4 linked regions of the Arabidopsis thaliana genome follow. The protein of the gene in region 1 interacts with the protein of each later gene in a pairwise test. Each region holds a gene or a part of one and is shown in the gene's direction. Other genes may lie near its edges. The genes, in order: CIPK1, ECT2, CBL5 and AHG1.

The links.
Region 2: the proteins of CIPK1 (region 1) and ECT2 interact in a two-hybrid assay, tested with the Arabidopsis thaliana proteins (one study listed by BioGRID).
Region 3: the proteins of CIPK1 (region 1) and CBL5 interact in a two-hybrid assay, tested with the Arabidopsis thaliana proteins (one study listed by BioGRID).
Region 4: the proteins of CIPK1 (region 1) and AHG1 interact in a two-hybrid assay, tested with the Arabidopsis thaliana proteins (one study listed by BioGRID).

The regions. Positions count from the first base shown.
Region 1 is NC_003074.8:5,988,395-5,994,764, reverse strand, and holds CIPK1 (CBL-interacting protein kinase 1), read left to right. Parts: upstream 1-1,763; 5' UTR 1,764-2,137; coding exon 2,138-2,329; intron 2,330-2,425; coding exon 2,426-2,488; intron 2,489-2,686; exon of another isoform or gene 2,687-3,549; coding exon of another isoform or gene 3,550-3,564; coding exon 3,565-3,636; intron 3,637-3,739; coding exon 3,740-3,847; intron 3,848-3,923; coding exon 3,924-4,004; intron 4,005-4,103; coding exon 4,104-4,283; intron 4,284-4,365; coding exon 4,366-4,581; intron 4,582-4,672; coding exon 4,673-4,777; intron 4,778-4,867; coding exon 4,868-4,984; intron 4,985-5,075; coding exon 5,076-5,138; intron 5,139-5,230; coding exon 5,231-5,305; intron 5,306-5,393; coding exon 5,394-5,456; 3' UTR 5,457-5,841; downstream 5,842-6,370. Other genes in the region: AT3G17500 (F-box family protein), read right to left, coding at 6,267-6,370. UniProt on the Arabidopsis thaliana protein: CIPK serine-threonine protein kinases interact with CBL proteins. Binding of a CBL protein to the regulatory NAF domain of CIPK protein lead to the activation of the kinase in a calcium-dependent manner.
Region 2 is NC_003074.8:4,384,023-4,390,309, reverse strand, and holds ECT2 (evolutionarily conserved C-terminal region 2), read left to right. Parts: upstream 1-1,717; 5' UTR 1,718-2,089; coding exon 2,090-2,117; intron 2,118-2,398; coding exon 2,399-2,475; intron 2,476-2,565; coding exon 2,566-2,713; intron 2,714-2,808; coding exon 2,809-2,879; intron 2,880-2,961; coding exon 2,962-3,528; intron 3,529-3,654; coding exon 3,655-4,248; coding exon of another isoform or gene 4,249-4,250; intron 4,251-4,336; coding exon 4,337-4,549; intron 4,550-4,645; coding exon 4,646-4,786; intron 4,787-4,871; coding exon 4,872-5,036; 3' UTR 5,037-5,747; downstream 5,748-6,287. Other genes in the region: Cpn60beta2 (TCP-1/cpn60 chaperonin family protein), read right to left, coding at 1-129, 214-339, 422-625; DIN4 (Transketolase family protein), read left to right, coding at 6,015-6,184, 6,272-6,287. UniProt on the Arabidopsis thaliana protein: Specifically recognizes and binds N6-methyladenosine (m6A)-containing RNAs, and regulates mRNA stability. M6A is a modification present at internal sites of mRNAs and some non-coding RNAs and plays a role in mRNA stability and processing.
Region 3 is NC_003075.7:579,498-583,122, reverse strand, and holds CBL5 (calcineurin B-like protein 5), read left to right. Parts: upstream 1-1,601; 5' UTR 1,602-1,604; coding exon 1,605-1,680; intron 1,681-1,803; coding exon 1,804-1,886; intron 1,887-2,033; coding exon 2,034-2,093; intron 2,094-2,166; coding exon 2,167-2,275; intron 2,276-2,403; coding exon 2,404-2,456; intron 2,457-2,543; coding exon 2,544-2,624; intron 2,625-2,709; coding exon 2,710-2,822; coding exon of another isoform or gene 2,823-2,826; exon of another isoform or gene 2,827-3,048; coding exon 3,049-3,085; downstream 3,086-3,625. UniProt on the Arabidopsis thaliana protein: Acts as a calcium sensor. CBL proteins interact with CIPK serine-threonine protein kinases. Binding of a CBL protein to the regulatory NAF domain of a CIPK protein lead to the activation of the kinase in a calcium-dependent manner.
Region 4 is NC_003076.8:21,025,294-21,029,706, forward strand, and holds AHG1 (Protein phosphatase 2C family protein), read left to right. Parts: upstream 1-1,581; 5' UTR 1,582-1,622; coding exon 1,623-2,087; intron 2,088-2,153; coding exon 2,154-2,498; intron 2,499-2,564; coding exon 2,565-2,670; intron 2,671-3,284; coding exon 3,285-3,619; 3' UTR 3,620-3,895; downstream 3,896-4,413. UniProt on the Arabidopsis thaliana protein: Negative regulator of abscisic acid (ABA) responses during seed germination.

The DNA.
Region 1 (6,370 bases):
AATGGTTAATATCTCTTTAGTTTAACATTAAAAGAGCACGAGCAAAAGAATATAACAAGAGAAAATTGTGGTATAAAATATTTGCTTGAGAAAGTTTATATAACCACGAACGAGTTACTCTTTTATTTATTTAAATTTATATATATAACACACCTAGTCATCTACACACAAAAGAGAGAGAGAGAGAGGTTCTGATAACATAGATCAATCAATATGTTACTCACTGCCGGCAGCAATACTATCACCGGCCATTTTGACACGTTTGAGAGACTCGAATAATTTTAATTATTGGTTTTTTCTCCTTTTCTATATAGTATCTATTCATTTCAGCCACATCATTTACTAACTACAAATTTTAATAAAAACCTTGGGAAAAAGATGTGTAGAGAAACATGTGACATATGACCTTTTCATTACCAAAAATATGTTGGGACGACTGACGAGAGCTAAGAACCACTACATTCTTCAATAATCTATGTATCCAATAAAAAGATATAATATGGAGTTTTCCAAATTCAAGAGATTAGCCTGGTGCCCAGGCCCTGGTTTATTGAAACTTTTGGATTCTCAAAAACAATTTATTTATTTTAATTAAATACACAAACCGCATAAGAAAAACAAATATAAATTGAATGGTTCCATGTGATTTAATTAATTGTGAGCCGACAAAGGACGAGACATGAAATATAGTATAAATTACCATAGTTTTTTTTAAAAAATATTAACTTTAAGTGTATCATTAACGATTGTGTTTCTAAACGCTTGCCTATATTGCGAATTAAAAATTTGTAAAAGTCTACAACTAATATTATTAGTCTACAAAGACAGAAACAATATAAAACTGAAAGCACCATGTTTATTTCCCCCCAAACCGAAAGCACTATCGTAAAAAAGTGTTTTAAATCTAATTATCAATTCATGCACGATATCGACGTATATAAATGGTTTATTACCAAATTATCTCTTAAACTGAAAATGCCACGACAATGAAGACCTACTGTCTATGAAACCAAGTCATAAGTTCAAAATTTCCATAGAAACGAATGGGTTATGAACGCGTTGTTTAATTTGTTGTAGTGTGTATATATAACTTGATCTTAAGTTTAGGTCTCTTTTGATCTCCTCTTTTATAACAAAGGTACAAAACTAAACTGTAACTTTAAGAAATCATAGTTGGACTTCAACTTTTAAGTAACTCCAACATGAAAACTTGGAAAGTATGTGATTCCTTGTGAACTTTTATGTGTATACAAGTTTGTTTCTACATTTAAGAACTAAAATCCGAAAGCCAAATCAAAACTGCTCCAGTAACAAGAACTATAAAACTGCAAGCACCAATCTTTTTGTAGCGTTTCTTTCTGACTTTAAACCAAAAGTTCTTATGAATATATTTTTTCATCTATTATTATTTAATTTCAACATAAAACTAATGCAACAAATGACGTGGGCCTATTGATGCATACAAGTACACACATAAAATACACACATATTCGCAATATACATCATATATAGAATTATTCTGATAAATCAATATACTCTTTGCGTATATTTTCCATATTTTGATTGTTGACAGAAATAAGATCCTTTTTAAATTTCTCCTTATAATGAACATAGACATAATTTCATTTGATAGGAGTTTTATTTGACCAATAATAATAAATCTCGATAAGTACCCTACTAAAAAAATCTTATTTCGATAATATCAAATCTTATATGGTTTGTTAGATTAATCTTTTTCTTTTGTGAAGATTAATATGTTTCTAGTTATCCAATAAAAATCTGGCTAACAAAAACCAAAAAAAAATAGTTAACGAGGAATATATATATAAAAAGAAGTGAATATAATAAGAAGAGAAGAGGAAACAAAGAGAAGTAGCGTCCTCTCTTCAATTTCAACCGGCACTTTCTTCTCTTCTTCTTCTTCTTCCCAATCTTCCTCGTCTCTTTACCTACACCTATATATATATATATATATATATCTCCTTCCCTCACACACATACCTGCACAGCTACAATAATCTACTTCCCCTCTTTCAATAACGGAATTAATAGTAATCTAATCGGAAGATTCAAGCGAGAAATCGATTTGGTTGTCTGTTAATTTGTTGGGAAATAAATTGAAATAGGAGATTGATTGGATGGTGAGAAGGCAAGAGGAGGAGAAGAAGGCGGAGAAGGGAATGCGTCTGGGGAAATACGAGCTAGGGAGGACGCTCGGCGAGGGTAATTTCGGTAAAGTTAAATTCGCTAAAGATACCGTCTCCGGTCATTCCTTCGCCGTTAAAATCATCGACAAGTCTCGTATCGCCGATCTCAACTTCTCCTTACAGGTTCCCATCTCTCTATCATCATTTCTAATTTTTTTCTTTTCTCTTCTTTTACTAAATTTGTAATTTGACAGATCCAATTCTTATGAATCTGTGCAGATAAAAAGAGAGATCCGGACTCTGAAAATGTTGAAACATCCCCACATTGTTAGATTACATGAGGTCCGTATCTTAAATTTTTGTGTATAATCATCTTTGGATTATCGAAATGATTCTGTGATTAGGAAGTAAAAAGGTTTATTGCTTAATTAGTATAACAATTTTTGATTATTCTTCTGTTTGCTTGTTTCTGTTTATTTAGTATATACCTGAGTATGACAGAAAGTGATCGAATTATTGCCTGCTTATGGATGGTTATTCAAATTTTGATTCGTCATTTTAGATTGTTAGATTAGGTTTAGTAAACTATTTTTAGTTAATTTCTTCATTGTTGTTTCTTTATCTATCAAAATGGAGCTGACGAGGATTAAAAACACCTCAAATCTTGGATAATTGTTGTTTGCTTTTTGGATCTTTTTTTTTACTGTTTAGGAATATTCTTACAAGTCATTTGGTTTCGTACCCAAACATGTTTCATTTAGCTTGTTTTTCACGTTGCCAATTAGCCGCATCATTTTACATAATTATTAAGTTAATTATTCCATTATTTGATATGGTGGCTTGGCCGGTAACACAAATCTGACCTGTTCAATTCAAAGGTGGGGTCCTAAAAAAAATTATCGTGAAAAATGCAGGATATGTCGCTTGATCATCATATAATTGCTTAATCTTAGTACCCTTTTAAGCTTTTTATCATGTGGACCCTCTTTGATCTTATGCTTAGTTTTACTTTTTATTTTATTTTATTCATATAGTATTATTTCAGATGATTATTGTATGGGTCATTGCTTGCTGTATCTTTGCGTTTTATTGTTGACTTCTAATTATTTCGATTGCTTCTTCCTCTTTGCCATTTAACACGAGATTAATCGTGACTTTTGGTTAAGCAACCATTGTGGATCTTCACTTATTTGATACACGTGGTCCACTTTTTAAGCTCGTGACTAACTTTGTCGTGTCTTGGACAACTAAGTGTTTTTTATGTAATCTGTGGATATGAATGCAATTCGAATTCTAAATGTTTCTTTTTCTTTCTTGTGACTAATCTTTTGGATTCTCAAACATGAAACATCTTACCTCAGAACTCACTGTTCCTTTACCTTGAAACTAATGGCCTCTTCCTTATGGTAATCATGCAGGTCTTGGCTAGCAAAACGAAAATTAATATGGTAATGGAACTTGTTACCGGAGGAGAATTGTTCGACAGAATTGTAAGACTCTTACTAGCCTCTATGCTCAAAGCAAAAAAGATTTTTTTTCTTTTTTTGACGAGTGTCATTTTTGCTAAACTCACACTTTGATGATAACTCTCAGGTTTCCAACGGAAAATTAACAGAAACTGATGGAAGAAAAATGTTTCAGCAGCTTATCGATGGAATCAGCTACTGTCATAGCAAAGGTGTTTTCCACAGGGATCTCAAGGTCTGTGATTCTCTCACTGTGTTTCAAACCATGGAAACCTTATGGAATAGTGTACTGATGTTTTTCTATATTGCAGCTAGAGAATGTTCTTCTTGATGCAAAGGGACATATAAAGATCACTGATTTTGGCCTCAGTGCTCTGCCTCAGCATTTTAGGGTACTTGAAAATATCATCTTAAAACCATAGCATATCACAGCAGAATTATAATTGTTGAATCCGTTCGAGTTACAACTAATTTTCTCTTTGGCATTTTAGGATGACGGATTGTTGCATACAACCTGTGGAAGTCCTAATTACGTTGCGCCTGAGGTTTTAGCTAACAGAGGCTACGATGGTGCAGCATCAGACATATGGTCCTGTGGTGTAATCTTGTATGTGATTCTAACCGGATGTCTTCCTTTCGACGACAGAAACCTTGCAGTTCTTTACCAGAAGGTAAACCTCATTTTTTCTTATATATATGCCAATTCAATACACATTTTGAAGAAATAAGCTTGATAATTGATTTGATTTCTAGATATGTAAAGGAGACCCACCAATACCAAGATGGTTATCCCCGGGTGCAAGAACCATGATTAAGAGAATGCTTGATCCAAATCCAGTCACGAGGATCACAGTTGTGGGTATTAAAGCCAGCGAGTGGTTCAAACTTGAGTACATTCCTTCAATTCCCGATGATGATGACGAAGAAGAAGTTGACACAGACGATGATGCTTTCTCAATCCAAGAACTCGTAAGAATCTGCCACCCTTACTCTCTATCGCAACTGCATTTGAGTCAAGTACAATGTCCTCATTTCTCTGTCTCTCTTTTGAATGGTCTAGGGATCAGAAGAAGGGAAGGGCAGTGATTCACCGACCATCATCAATGCGTTTCAGTTAATCGGAATGTCTTCCTTTCTTGACCTGTCCGGTTTCTTTGAACAAGAGGTAACTAATCTTCTAATACTCTGTTTCAAAGATCTGCTCTCTGCTTGAGCCAATGTATAATAAAAAGGAGTTATACTTTTACTTTCTCAGAATGTATCAGAGAGGAGAATAAGATTCACTTCAAATAGCTCAGCAAAAGATTTACTGGAGAAAATCGAAACAGCCGTTACAGAAATGGGATTCAGTGTACAAAAGAAACATGCCAAGGTGGGTCTTCACAACATGGTCTTCCTCTTCCTTAGCAACTTGGAATTTCAAATCTGTAGGTTTATAAACTTTAAACTGTATTTTGTTTCAGTTAAGAGTAAAACAAGAAGAAAGAAACCAGAAAGGTCAAGTTGGTTTATCAGTAACAGCTGAGGTATATTAACTATTACGTAAACATTATTTCACTGTTCAATAGACTATTTAGTGAGATTATTTGACTAATAGAAGAAATTCTTATGATATCAGGTTTTCGAGATAAAGCCGTCACTGAACGTGGTTGAGCTAAGAAAATCTTATGGCGATTCATGTTTATATAGACAGGTATGCCACTATTGTCATTTCTTAATTAGACTGAAGAAACACATATCAAAGATAAAAATGTTTATGTTTGATATTGGGGTTGGTGCAGTTGTACGAGAGACTATTAAAAGACGTGGGCACATCCTCGCCGGAGCAAGAGATAGTAACTTAGGTGTTGGTGTTTTCGGCTGAAGAGATATACATAGCTCTAATAATTTATCATATGGAACACACCATCCATGTTCATATAATTTATTATCTTAAGTATATATAAAAGGAGCTCGATTTATATGATTAGTGCAAATAGTAATTGCATTTAAGTATAAACCGTGGCGTAGATCTTTCCTCAAGAATTAGAGATTTTATTCACTACCTTTGTATTTGTTTTTATTATTATTTGGTGTGGCAAATCTGCCTACTAGCAAAAAAGATCCCATAAAAAATCTCTTCATTATTTTTGTAAATAATATACATGTGTTTAGTTTGTATCTGTACATCATTCAATTCCGCACCAACCGATCTACGTATATAAATTTTTAGTATTATGCTATGTTGCTTTCGTCTCATAAAATACTCTCAAGAGTCATGAGTCATGTGACCTATCAACATTTAGCGTCCTGGAATGTAACAATTGTAGTTTTAAAGTTAGTCAAATTCACAACTTGTTCTTGTTTTAGTTGGAACTTGAATGTAGTGCAAATAAGCCAGGAATCAAAATAATATATCTAGTCATAGATTAATCAAACGATTTTACTACAAAAACGCAAAAACGAATAAACAAAAAAAGGAGATTGAAGAAATTACGTCCTTACCTGTATCGACTAATACTGAACCAAACTTGGAACATAATTGAAAATAAAACGGCTCACATGAGTTCATAAAAGGAATGAACTTAGGCCATTCGCCAAAATGGATTTCTGTGTATTCACGGTCCTCCCCAACAATGTATACAAGGTTCTTGCTCGCAAGTCTGTTACTTGTCTCACAACCCACATAGCAAGGCCATTCCTTTCTCCTTGTCGATGAAGAAACTGTCATACGATAACATAGCACGACCACCAATGTCTACATCTACCGTAAAGAATT
Region 2 (6,287 bases), 1.6 Mb from region 1:
CTCAGCAATAAAACCTTGTGCAAGAACAACAGATGTTGTTGTACCGTCACCAGCCAAGTCATTGGTCTTTGCAGCTGCTTGCCTTACAAGCTTTGCACCAATGTTCTCAACCGGGTCCTCCAACTCGACCTAAGCAGAAGAAAACCTTAAGCTTAGAGAAGTAATTAAAAACGAAAGGAACATAATTGGTTAAACAGACAATAAATTTCATACCTCCCTCGCAACAGTGACACCATCATTAACAATTCTTGGGGATCCATACTTGCTCTCAAGAACAACATTTCTCCCTTTTGGTCCAAGTGTGACACCAACAAGGTCCGCGAGCTTGTTAACACCAGTCTAATAACAAACGAGTAATCAGAAACCAAAAATAAAACGAATCCTAATCATTACTCCAGAAAATCAATTCATTAATTCTCACCTGAAGTTTCCTTATGGTAGTCCCATCCTTATTGAAATGCAACTCCTTGGCTGCACATACTATGGCAGGACGGGATCTTCTGACGCACACGTTATGTCTCCTTCCAAACGAGCTTGAAGAGATGCTAGTCGCAGAAGACAACTTGATAGCATTGGGAGCAAGCAACGAACCAAGGGAAGACGTGGCAGTGAATGTCGATGCCATTTTCACTTCTCAAACACTGAAAATCAATCCAACAGTTCACATAAAACGAAAGATTCACCAAAAGTACTAACCAATTAAAACTGGCAACAAAAAACAAAAAACAGATGAATTTCAAAATCAGAGCTCAATCCCCAAATACTCAAAACCACAACTACACCAATAGCCACAAATCTCCGGGAACACGAAAACAAGGTAACATACTTTTTCTCAGCTACTAGTAATACTTGTTAATTCCAATTCTAACAAAACAATCAATCGACACACACAATTACATAGGCGCCAACATTGTGAGCTCAATTGATGGGAAAAGTGACACTCACCGGACGGTGGAACGACGGAGGTGAGGAGAGAGATGGCGCCGAAGAGGTTTATTCCGGATAAGGAGGAAGAAGTAGGTTTCTCCAATGACGAAATGAAGAATGCACTTGCTACTGATAATTTTTTCTTTGAATATAAAGGCGATATGAGCCTTTAGCTCTTGAAACTTCGAGCTAATCTTAGCCGTTGGATGTACTCTTCATTGTTTTCTCATTAGAACTCTCTAGAACGTCGGATGGGTAATCGGATCATGGGTTTATTTCCGGTGGCCTTGTTTGGTGATTTGGGCCTGTTTATGAATCTTTAATCAAATAGGCCCATTACATACTCTCGATCTTAAAATGTTTTTATTTAATAATAGCTTTTTTAAGCTAAGGTAATTTACTTCCTTTTATCCTAAAGGTAAAGTATATTTTCTTGAATAGCTAGTTTTGGTAAGTTTCTCTGAAAAATAGATTTTACTTTCTTTGGTTTTATCTTAATGATTTGCTTTTAGTTTTTAAATAGTTGCTCAAAACAAAAAAGTTTAATATATATTTTTAAAGATATTTCAATGTATATTGGGGTAAATTTATAGAAGAAACACACCTATAATAGAAAGCATGCCCTCTTTTGCTTTTAAATTTGACCAAATTTACTTTTGAATTATATTTTGGTAACAGAATTGAGATTTATATCTATTTTATTACAAGATTACCAATTTTAAGAAAATGGAAAAGTATATTATCCAGATTTTGCAGGAAAAATAACCAAAACCACACGGTCTATAGTCTTCTTTTAAAACAAAAGAGGAAATATCTTAAGGTGGAAGAAAAAAAAAAAAAAAGAAAGAAAAAAAAAAGAGAGAAGGTGAGGTGGTTGATTAGTGGATCTATTTGAATCAGAGGGAGAGGTAGAGAGACAAAACCCTTTTTTTCCTCTTCCCCGAAGCAAAACCCTTCTCCTTCTTGGCGGCTGCGGCCATTTTTTTCTTCTTTCTCTCTTCTATTCTATCTCTTAAACCCTAGATTTGATCTGGGTTTTTCCTGATTCCATTTAGGGTTTCTCTATCTTCTTTTTTTTCTTCTTCTTCTTCTTTCTCTTTGGTCGCATCCCCTTTTATCCGAGAAGGATCTATCCAAATCTTTGTTTGTCGAATCTCCTCTCATGGCTACCGTTGCTCCTCCTGCTGATCGTATCCTTTCTTTATGTTTCTCGATCTGTGTTTTGATTTCTCGATCTTGAATCTGTTGGATCTTGAATCCAGTGAGCTGATTTTGAGTCTTGTTCAGATATATTTGATATTGCCTAGATTCAGTTTCGGGTTTCTCAATATATTTCTCGATTGTTAGGTTTCTATATTGATTCAAATCGATTCATTTGTGGCGAGTTTGATTGATTTGAGAATGTTTGCTTTCCACTATTCTAATGGTTAATTGTGTAATTCTTTGCTTCCTTGACTCACCTTGTTTGTAGAAGCTACAGATCTGTTGCAGAAACTATCCTTGGACTCGCCAGCAAAAGCTTCAGAGATCCCTGAGCCTAACAAGAAGGTGATTTGCAGATTGAATTTTGGTTTTCTGTTGTCACAACTTTTGCTTCTTCCAGTTTTTTTTAACGCTTTTGTTTTGTGTCTTGTGTAGACTGCCGTCTACCAGTATGGAGGCGTTGATGTTCATGGTCAAGTTCCTTCTTATGATCGATCTTTGACACCAATGCTTCCCAGTGATGCTGCTGACCCTTCAGTTTGCTATGTTCCTAATCCTTACAATCCCTACCAGTATTACAATGGTAGCTTCATCCTCAAATCATTTACAATCTAGAAACATTATTTCACTAAATTGTCACCACTGGTTTAACAAGTTTTTCGTTTTGTAACTTTTCAGTATATGGGAGTGGTCAAGAGTGGACTGACTACCCAGCTTACACAAATCCTGAGGGTGTTGACATGAATTCTGTAAGTGTGTGCTGACTAGTTATAATAGTGCCTTTCATCGTCTTTATATTTTCTTTGCTTAACAGGTTCAATATTTTACCAGGGAATTTATGGAGAGAATGGGACTGTTGTGTATCCTCAGGGTTATGGGTATGCAGCGTATCCTTACTCGCCAGCAACTAGCCCTGCTCCACAGCTTGGCGGGGAAGGGCAGTTGTACGGTGCTCAGCAGTATCAGTATCCTAACTATTTTCCAAACAGTGGACCGTATGCTTCATCTGTGGCTACACCTACCCAGCCGGATCTCTCTGCAAACAAACCTGCTGGTGTGAAGACACTACCTGCGGATAGCAATAATGTTGCTTCTGCTGCTGGTATCACAAAAGGAAGTAATGGATCAGCTCCAGTGAAACCAACTAACCAGGCTACCCTTAACACCTCAAGTAATTTGTATGGTATGGGTGCTCCAGGAGGAGGTTTGGCTGCTGGTTATCAGGACCCCAGGTATGCCTATGAAGGGTATTATGCTCCTGTGCCGTGGCACGATGGCTCTAAGTACTCTGATGTGCAGAGACCTGTTTCTGGTAGTGGAGTTGCATCCTCCTATTCTAAGTCTAGCACAGTACCTTCATCGAGGAATCAAAACTACCGCTCAAATTCTCACTACACGGTATGATGTCTTTCCAAACTTCTTTTTGCTAATGAACACCATTGTCTGCTTTACTGGCATATATATATAGCCGCTCAAGTCTTCCAAATTTGTTAACTGACCTTCAATCAACTTTTTTCTTTGCAGAGCGTGCACCAGCCTTCATCAGTGACTGGCTATGGTACAGCTCAGGGGTACTACAACAGGATGTATCAGAACAAGTTATATGGTCAGTATGGTAGCACAGGGAGATCTGCTTTGGGTTATGGTTCATCTGGGTATGATTCAAGAACAAATGGAAGAGGATGGGCGGCCACAGACAACAAATACAGAAGCTGGGGCAGGGGTAACAGTTACTATTACGGAAATGAGAACAATGTAGATGGTTTGAATGAACTTAACAGGGGACCTAGAGCTAAGGGCACAAAGAACCAGAAGGGAAATCTAGATGATAGCTTAGAGGTTAAGGAGCAGACTGGAGAATCAAATGTAACTGAGGTTGGGGAGGCGGATAACACATGTGTTGTTCCTGACAGAGAACAGTACAATAAAGAAGATTTCCCAGTGGATTATGCAAATGCCATGTTCTTTATCATCAAGTCATACAGTGAAGATGATGTGCACAAGAGCATTAAATATAATGTTTGGGCTAGCACACCAAATGGAAACAAGAAGCTTGCTGCAGCATACCAGGAAGCTCAACAGAAAGCTGGCGGCTGTCCCATCTTTCTGTTTTTCTCGGTGTGTATATAATCCTGAAATTAAAAACTGTGCTCTTTTTACTTTGTTTTATGATATTGTTCTTTATACTCCAGTTTTTGTCTTTCAGGTCAATGCAAGTGGACAATTTGTTGGTCTTGCTGAAATGACAGGACCAGTTGATTTCAACACAAATGTGGAGTACTGGCAGCAAGATAAGTGGACCGGCTCTTTCCCCCTCAAGTGGCATATTGTGAAGGATGTGCCAAACAGTTTACTGAAGCATATTACTTTAGAGAACAATGAGAACAAACCTGTTACCAACAGCAGAGACACACAAGAGGTAAATATTTGTGACATCTTTTGGCTTGTTTTACTGATTACTCCACGAGCGTTTTTGTTTTCTTGTGCCTAACTTTCTTTGTTTGGATCATATTAGGTTAAGTTGGAGCAAGGTTTGAAGATTGTGAAAATTTTCAAGGAGCATAGCAGCAAGACTTGCATTTTGGATGATTTCTCATTCTACGAGGTTCGACAGAAGACTATCTTGGAGAAGAAAGCCAAGCAAACCCAGAAACAGGTAAGAACTAGAAAACAATTTCAGAAATCTTTTTCATTCAGTATATATATAACTTGAGTGTTTCTAATGTATTAAAGCTTAACAGGTAAGCGAGGAGAAGGTAACCGATGAAAAGAAGGAATCTGCAACTGCAGAGTCAGCGAGCAAGGAATCTCCTGCAGCTGTTCAAACGTCCAGTGATGTTAAGGTTGCTGAGAATGGGTCTGTTGCTAAACCAGTCACAGGCGATGTGGTGGCAAATGGTTGCTAACTAAGAGGATGGTGTCGCTCACGGCATGGGCATAAAACTGACTAGAGATGAAGATATGAACAATCCCGTTTAACGTTTCTCTTGAGAAGAAGATTGCCGTGAGCCTTGAAGCATGGAAGGAGCTTTAGTACCTGAGACGGATCCGTTTCTTTGCCCTTAGAAGTTTAAATCCCAGTTATTTTTTTTTCAATCTTTTCTTGTTTTCATTTTTCCTTTTCTTCAAAATCGCAGTCTCGTTACAAGTTTATGTTGGGTTTCTTTTTCATTTTCTGTTGTTCCTACCCTGTAAAAATGCGCATAGGACCTACTAAATCGTGGGAAGAATTAGAGAAAAGGAGATAAAAGCAGGGTGGGATTTTGTTTTTTCATGTCTGTTGGATTTTTAGGCAGAGTTTTCTTTTCTTTTGGTTTCTTGCTTTGGTTTCAGACTTGACTCTCTTGAGTCGTTTAGAATTTGAGATGGTCTTTTGCCTCTCTCGTCTTGTTTCTGTCATTCTCCAAAGTTATCTGAATCAATCCATGTTTTAAGATTTTCAAAGCAAGGAGATAAGTATTGTTGATTTTTTTCGTGTAACAAAACAAAACGACCTTGATCTCATAATTTTGTTGCTGTCACCAATAATTGTCAAAGAAGCCGAGAGAACCTAACTTTAGTCAGCTCTCCATTTCACCATTCCAATGTATGATGTGTCGTTTTGATCTATCTTGCCGAAATTGCTGATGTGGTTAAAATCCCAATAATAAATGAAGCTGATCAAATAAGTACTTGTTGTCTGATCTGACGTGGCTAGATAGCTTCTCCAACGCTTTATCTCGGAAACTCCGTGACAAAAGATAGTACTTTCATGTCTGTTTTGGTTTCATCCAAAAGTATCAAATTTGTGTGATCTTCTCCAGAAGAAACTTGAGGAACTTTAAGCTAAACCTCTGTAGTTTTCAGATTGATTCGTTGGTGGAAAGCGTCTAAATTTTGCGTAAATGGCGGCAGCTCTTGTACGCAGATTCTGCCGGGGATCATCTTTTCCGGTCTCTGGTCATGGATATAGGATGCTATCGACGGTTGAAAATGTATCTGAAAGTGGTAAATCGATGAATCTATACTCTGCTATTAATCAAGCTCTTCACATCGCTTTAGAGACCGATCCTCGGTGAGCTTTTCTCGCATTTTTCAATCCTAAAGTCTAAGGTACATTTGAATTGGTTTTTATAATGTATTTGGAGTCACTTGAGTGAAGGTCTTATGTTTTTGGG
Region 3 (3,625 bases), on another chromosome or scaffold:
TGACTAGACGAATAAACACATTTTCGCTTAATCCCTAACACAAACATTTCCCTAAGTATCTTGAATTCAATTTTAGTTACTTTTCATGTAGCTTTTCTTTGTGGTATATGTATGTGATTAATGCTTTCGAGAATAAAAGAAAATATGAATACAAAACATTTAACAAGGTCTGCAAGGGAAACTTGTTAAAAATAAAGGCAAGAAACGTTAATCAATCAAGATCCTGAATGCACAGTCGTGATAATTGGCATGCTCACATCGTTAGTTGGTGATTTGATGTGTTCTTCCTAAAAAAGTTCCTTAAGAATTTCACTTTTAAAACAGAATTCAGATTTTGCATTCTCGCTACAAAATACTTGTAGACTGAGATACAATCTGAATTATCATATAACATTTGTTTGCTATCGTAACGTTTTTTTTTTGTAAAAGAATATAATACCAGTAATCAACTTTTTTTGGTTCTGGTTCTATATGATTGGTCAATAACTGAAATAATTTTAGGATATCATAGAGTTAACGAGATCGATTGAAAAGAAAGTAAATATTTATTGTTATATCTTTGTATATAAATTTATTGGGTTAGTCAATAACATTGAGAGATACTATTATACTACTAAAGTTTCATCCATTTTTATAAAACAATAGAGCTCTCAAAATGGACGGGCGGCCCGTGGGCGTGTTTCATCCATTACAACTGTAGCTTCAGAGTCTTCATTCAGCATAGGAAGTCGGGTTTTAAACAAGTATCGGAGTTGTCTTCTTCCTTCTACAGTTCAAGCTTTGATATGTGCGAGGAATTGGCTATGCAACTTTGAAGAGATTGGTAAGCTTTTGACTTCTTTTCTTTTGTCATATTTCAATCAATTTGAATCTTAATGCATATTGAGTTCTTCTTTTCTGTAGTACTTAGGTGATAATATTGAGTTCCTTAATAAAGACAAAGATGGCGAGAGAGAAGAAGAAGAAGTTTAAATTTGCTTTTAATTTGTTTTTGGATTTGATACTTTGTTAAATACTTGAATTGTGTTTAAATTTGCTTTTGGATTTAATACTTAAATTATTTAATACTTTGTTGTTTAAATTTGCTTTTGGATTTGATAATTTGGTTGAAATATGAAGCAAATACTATTGTGTTAAAATTTGGTTATGTTATGCTCATTGGACAGCCCAGTTGGACATGAGCTTTAATGAGCATGAACGTTAATGGACATGGACCTTAGTGGACATAGACACTATTTGTCCAATATCGAAATGGATATTATTGGACTGAGCTAATGGACATGGACATCCCGCTTTGAGTATCAAGTAACAAGAAAAAAATTTGAATCAACAAGAAAATATAAACCATAGAAAAAGAATATGTTTAAAGAACTCAGGAAAGAAAATGAAGTTTCATAGAAAAAGAACTAGTATCAAATTCCGATATAAATTATACCATTTGTCTCCAGCTTCCTAAGCCGGCAATGTACAAACCCTTCCACTTTCGAATTTGTTCGGTTAGAAATAGATTTATATTCCACAATTTCTTGCACCTACGTTGATGCCTATATATATAGACACACTTAAATGTATGTGGAATTTGAAATATATATTGATATAGTAAAATGGGATGTGTTTGCAGCAAGCAATTAGAAGGAAGAAGGCAAGAAGACATTTCGCTTCTTGCTTCTCAAACCTTTTGTAAGTTACGTCTACTTCAATCATCCACCACTTCCTCCTCCTATATATTATATTGCATGGAGAAAGAATATTATTACACGAGCTTGTAGATCAGATAACATCTAAATTGTTTTGGGTTTGCAGTTAGCGAGGCTGAGGTTGAAGTTTTGCATGGATTGTTCATCAAACTCACTTCTTGTCTTAGCAACGACAATCTTTTGACCAAAGTTAGAGTCCAAACTAATTTTTCTTCCACAATGTGAATAATTTTTTTTTGGTCAACAAAATGTGAATAATATAACATCTAAATTTTATACTAGCTAGTTATAGAAAAGTTGTGCTTTTGTCATGTCAAATTTGGTTGGCTTTTCCAGGAAAAATTTCAATTTATCTTGATCAAGAATACCAAAAAGCGCAGTCTTTCTGCAGAACGGGTAATTGAATTTGTTATATTAAGCGAAATAAATAAATAAACTTCGATTGATGTTGTTTCTCTGAAATATGCAGATTTTTGGATTATTCGATATGAGAAACGATGGGGCTATAGATTTTGGAGAGTTTGTACACACACTCAACATTTTTCACCCAAACTCATCACCAAGAGATAAGGCCATATGTATGCTTCATCACTTCTAATGTGTTTATTCATTTATTCCATGTTATTATTATTTTCTATATAGCTAGAGATCAATGTTATTAACTATAACCACAAATACATCTGATCACTTGTTTAAAATTAAACAGTTGCATTTAGATTATACGATACTCGTGAGACTGGATTCATTGAACCGGAGGAGGTACGTATGTAAACTTTGTCTCAAAAAAAAGAAAAAGTCATGATTAATTATATTTGACGGTTTTCCTCGACTTGGAGAAATCTATAGGTGAAAGAGATGATAATAGACGTTCTAGAGGAATCAGAACTTATGCTATCCGAGAGTATCATTGATTCTATCGTGTCTAAGGTGTGTATAACGCTTAAGTTTATGAGCTTGATTTAACATTATAGTGATTTTACTTACTATTTTTGTTTACTTATATTTGGCAAAGACATTTGAAGAGGCCGATTGGAAAAAAGATGGGATAATAGATTTGGAAGAATGGGAGAATTTTGTTGCCACCTATCCTTTGACACTAAAGAACATGACTATCCCTTTCTTGAAGTAATTCGTTTGTTTGTTTTTCCTAACCATTTTCTTAATATTCGCTGATAAATTGCATGTTTTAGATACATCTTTCGTTTTACAAAAAAAGTAATATATATACATCTTTCAAAAACAGCTTTTATATATGTGTGTTTATGCATATATTACTATTATCTTCTTTTATTTTATTTTTCTTGTTTTATAAATCGAGATAATTATTCTAAAATTAACTTTTATTGTACAGGGACATTCCGAGGATTTTCCCAACCTTTCTCCGGTAAAATCAGATGAGGTGTTTGCTAGAGGTTTTTGTTTAAAAATATTTTTATCCGAAAATCACATAGGTAATTTGTTATAAGAAATATAGAAGGTTAATTATTATATAAACATATTAACTATCGAAAGAAATCTTTAATATTTAACGAGGATAGAAAGTAATTGTTTTTAACCACAAAGCTAAAGCTGTGATATGAAAACTTAAAAGCAAAGATCGGTTCGTGAAGACAAAATGGGGTTTTGGAAAAGGAAAAGAGGAAAAAGAAAAAGAACAAACGTGTGAAAATTCGAGAAAAATGGTAACACAAAAAGAAATTGGACATGATATAAGTTGCCAAAACCAAAGAGAAAAAATTGACATGATATACCAATCAAATTTTTGAATCAGGTCAACTAATCAAATTCACAACAATCATCCACAATATTATTTAGATTTGACGCTTTCACTGTTTCACATGAAAATTTTACATTTGACGCGATGACTTGTGGAGTCACGATCATTTTAGTCACTCGTTTTAAACGGATGCTTCATTCAAAAAATGTAA
Region 4 (4,413 bases), on another chromosome or scaffold:
AACTTCCCTTCATATAGTAATTCTAACCACACGCAAAATTATTAAACCAAATTTCCGCAAGAAGATCATAAAAAACTGAATAAACAATTTAAACAAACATTGATGTACGAAGATAACATTTCTATCATATATGGTTTATATATAATAACCTACTAAAACAGCCAGGGATTGAAATTAAGCTCACTAGTTTTTATTTTCTTCACATAAAAAAAAAAACAAAATCACTATATCGGCAAGTTAAGTTTTCAATCATTAAAACCTAAAACTAACCACCCAACCCACCAATGATTAAAACTATATCCCAGTCCCAACTAATCACAAATTTAAGGTAAAGTGTGTTTGAATCATTTTTTAAGAATTTTAGACAAGCTTTTTCATTATTATCTTCCTTTTAGATAACTTACACATTTATATTAGCTTAATATTTTGTTTGTTTTAGTTTTTAGCTAAACCATATCATTCATGTAGAGAGAACCACCCTAACTGTTATGATCTATTCGACTCGTATTAATTCTCATCAATATAGCAAAATATTAGGATTGATCGATCCACATATTTCAGTTCACCCACTTTAATATATTTCAAAGACAGTTTGTAAACATTTATTACGGTTTTCGTAGATCTTGAGTATTTGAATAAATAATGATATGATTCTTTGTATCTTGTACAGTTGCTTATTTGAGTAGACATTAATTACAAATCAAATCTGTTAGCATAAAATATACATATATCGCCGTTTTTCTTCATTTGTAGGAAACCAAATAAAGAATAAAAGGCATATGGCACTGATGGACTAAACTGGCATAACTATGCTACGTGTTTAATTGGTACAAGTCGCTCAACCTGAGGAATCGAGAAGTTGTAGATGATCACTATGTGACATGTGTTGCACCGAAAAAGAGTGACTAGTGACGATTGACGATTCGTCAACCTTTTTCTCCGAAGATATCTCCAACGTTATGGTTAATCCCATGATTTGGTTTAAGTATACTTACCGTTCAGGTTTTATAGAAAATACTACTCGAGATTTGGAACGATCAGTAAATGTTATTCCAGATTTAATATAGTAGAAATTGTTTGTTTTCACTTTTCAAAAAGATGGTTTTCAAAATTTAATTCTTTTTAAAAATAAGAAAATTGATATAAACCTTTTCAATATTGTTACATTTATAGTCATTGTTTTGACATTAATGTTTTCATATTGAAAGCAAAAGGAAACAAGATGCAATATTTCGTATATCATGAGTTTTTCATTTTCTATAATATTTGATGAATTAGTCCAGAACCAGCCTGATCCTTGTAGTTCACATGGTTTGAGAGATCAGCTCCGGCTCATGGGTTCAAATTCAAGCAAGGAGAAGAAGAAAGGAGTTAAGACACAAGAGCCTAGCTAAACGACTATCGTCATGAACCCAAAACCGGATGCGGTTTAACAAAAACCGAAGGCGTCTCCACGTGGACAACAACTTAACACCTGAGCCTAACACGCGAATACATCGAAACACCGACACGTGTTCTGTCTTCCTCGTAAGCTTCTTTATGTTCAAAGTGTTCTCTCTTTCTCTCGGCCCCATGTATATAAAGCGGTGCTCTCTTGATCCACCGAAACGAATTTTGAAAAGATGACTGAAATCTACAGAACAATTTCAACCGGACGTGGAGACGACGTTTCTCCGACTAAATGCCGTGAACGTCGTCGTCGGAGAATTGAGATGCGGAGACAAGCGGCGGTTTTCGGCGAACCTAGTTCGTCTAGGAATCGTGATCGGACGGACATGGAAGTTTACTCAAGTTTTGACGTTCCATTGAGGAAACAAGCTCGGAGGTCAGAGATCGGTGGTCTTCCGGCGGATATCGGGGGCTTTTTGGCACCTCCGGCGGCATCTTCTTGCCAAAAATCGGAAGCGCCGGTGTGGAAGGGAGAAGAAACGGAGGATGAGCCGTTGTACGGTATAGTTTCGGTTATGGGAAGATCTCGTAAGATGGAGGATTCGGTTACTGTTAAACCGAATTTGTGCAAACCGGAAGTTAACCGGCAAAGACCGGTTCATTTCTTTGCGGTATACGATGGCCACGGCGGTTCTCAGGTAAGAAAATTAACCAGGGGTGGTTTGGTCATTTAATATAAAGATGCTGATGTGATGCGTGGACAGGTGTCAACATTGTGCAGCACGACTATGCACACGTTTGTCAAGGAGGAGCTAGAGCAAAACCTCGAAGAGGAGGAAGAAGGAAGCGAAAACGATGTCGTGGAGAGGAAATGGCGGGGCGTGATGAAACGGAGTTTCAAGAGGATGGATGAGATGGCAACGAGTACATGCGTGTGTGGGACTAGTGTGCCGTTGTGTAACTGTGATCCGAGGGAGGCTGCGATTTCGGGTTCAACGGCGGTCACTGCGGTTTTGACGCACGATCATATTATTGTAGCCAATACTGGTGACTCACGTGCGGTGTTGTGTCGAAATGGAATGGCTATTCCTCTGAGTAACGATCACAAGGTGGTGTTCTTGTAAAGGTTTGAGAATATTGGAGTTTCTATTTTGAAGTTGTTGAGTTTTTTGCAGCCGGATAGACCAGACGAGCGTGCGAGGATTGAAGCAGCTGGTGGTCGAGTTTTAGTAGTGGATGGAGCTAGAGTTGAAGGAATTCTAGCCACGTCCAGAGCCATAGGTATACCTTTCTCAATTCTCATATTGTAGTAAAAGATGATTTTAGTTGATAGTGTTGAAGATGGCAAGGAACTAGAGCCTATAAGGGCAATAATAATCATTTCGGATTTGGGGTTTAGGGTTTTAAGTTTACTAACTAAGGTACTATGGATTGGTTTCATTTGGTGCGAGTTCTTTTGTTGATTAATTCTAATTCTATTTTCAAAGATGTTTTATAATTGTTCCTTTAAAAAAAAAATATGTAAATTTTACTCTCTTTTTTTTGTCAAAATGTTAACTAGAAATTTTACATTGGTCCTAATAGTTTAACATTTGACAAAAAAAAAAAAAAACAAAAAAAATTATATTTGCAGCATTAACTAGAAAACAAAAATAATTGAATCATTTTACGAAAATAAAAAATGTGGGCATTCATACAAACCATCTCATGGATTAGAACGGGAGAAGTATTTTTCTTAACTTCAAAAGTATTTAAATGTGTCTTATCTTTGTATCTTTCATTGTTTGATCATTTAACCAACTTAAAATTTATTTCGGTTATACAATTTATTAGACTAAACATGAAGTTTTAGTATGGAAATTGTTCCTAATGTTGTGTTACAATTCATGGAGCAGGGGACAGGTATCTAAAACCAATGGTAGCATGGGAACCAGAAGTAACATTCATGAGAAGGGAATCTGGAGATGAATGCTTAGTATTAGCAAGCGATGGGCTTTGGGATGTACTCTCGAGTCAGCTAGCTTGTGACATAGCTAGGTTTTGTCTCCGCGAAGAAACTCCCTCGAGCCTTGATTTAAATAGAATGGCTCAAGAAGACGACAATGACGGAGAACAAAATCCTTCAAGGAGTGTATTGGCTGCAACGTTGCTAACGCGGTTGGCTTTGGGTAGACAAAGCAGTGATAATATAAGTGTGGTCGTCATTGATCTCAAGAATAGCTCTCAGTAAAACTAGTTTTGGATCCTTTTTTTGGTGGTTGTGCAATTAAGTGGTTAAACCAAAGAATAAGATGTTGATATAGCGATGAGCCTTAATTAGTTTTAGGGTTTAGCGCCCGTCTTTGTTTTGTTATGAATTGGGGTTACCAATACACATTAACACCGGCGAATGTGAAAGGAAAAGAGAGTTGTTTGGATATGGGCTACAAGGTTATTTAGTGGTTTGGCCATGGGCTATTAAGGGTATTTAGTGGTTTAAACAATAAAATAAAAGTTAACTTGAGAGAATTTGTTCTCTAATTTTGTTTGTTGTATGTGTGTGATCATTTTGAAGTTATTGATCGTTTAGCTATTTAGGTGGTATGTGTGAAATAAATAGATAAAATAAAAACGTAGTACTGCTTTGGTTTTGTTCGTTGTAGTTCATTAGACGCCGGTCTTGGTCTTTTATATTTTTTTGATGGACTGATCATTTCCAATGGTTAAAGTCATCTCTGTCTACAAATACTTACATTTTGGTACAACCTGAATGAAGTGAATTTAAGGCTGAGATTTTGAACCAGCCCTAACCCTACTCAACCGTGCAGTTTTATATTTGGTTCAACAATGCTATATAGGCTTTTGGGCCAATTACCAGATTGTCTTTACTCTTTAGGCTTTAAAGGAAAAAAAAAAGAGATGTGCAAAAGAATCAAAGAGAACAATTCAAGAAAGAGAGACAAAAAGACAACTCTTATAGTTCGATGGAAATGGAACAATTCGAACAGGTTTGACGAATACAGAGTTTTGGTCCTAAATAAAAGG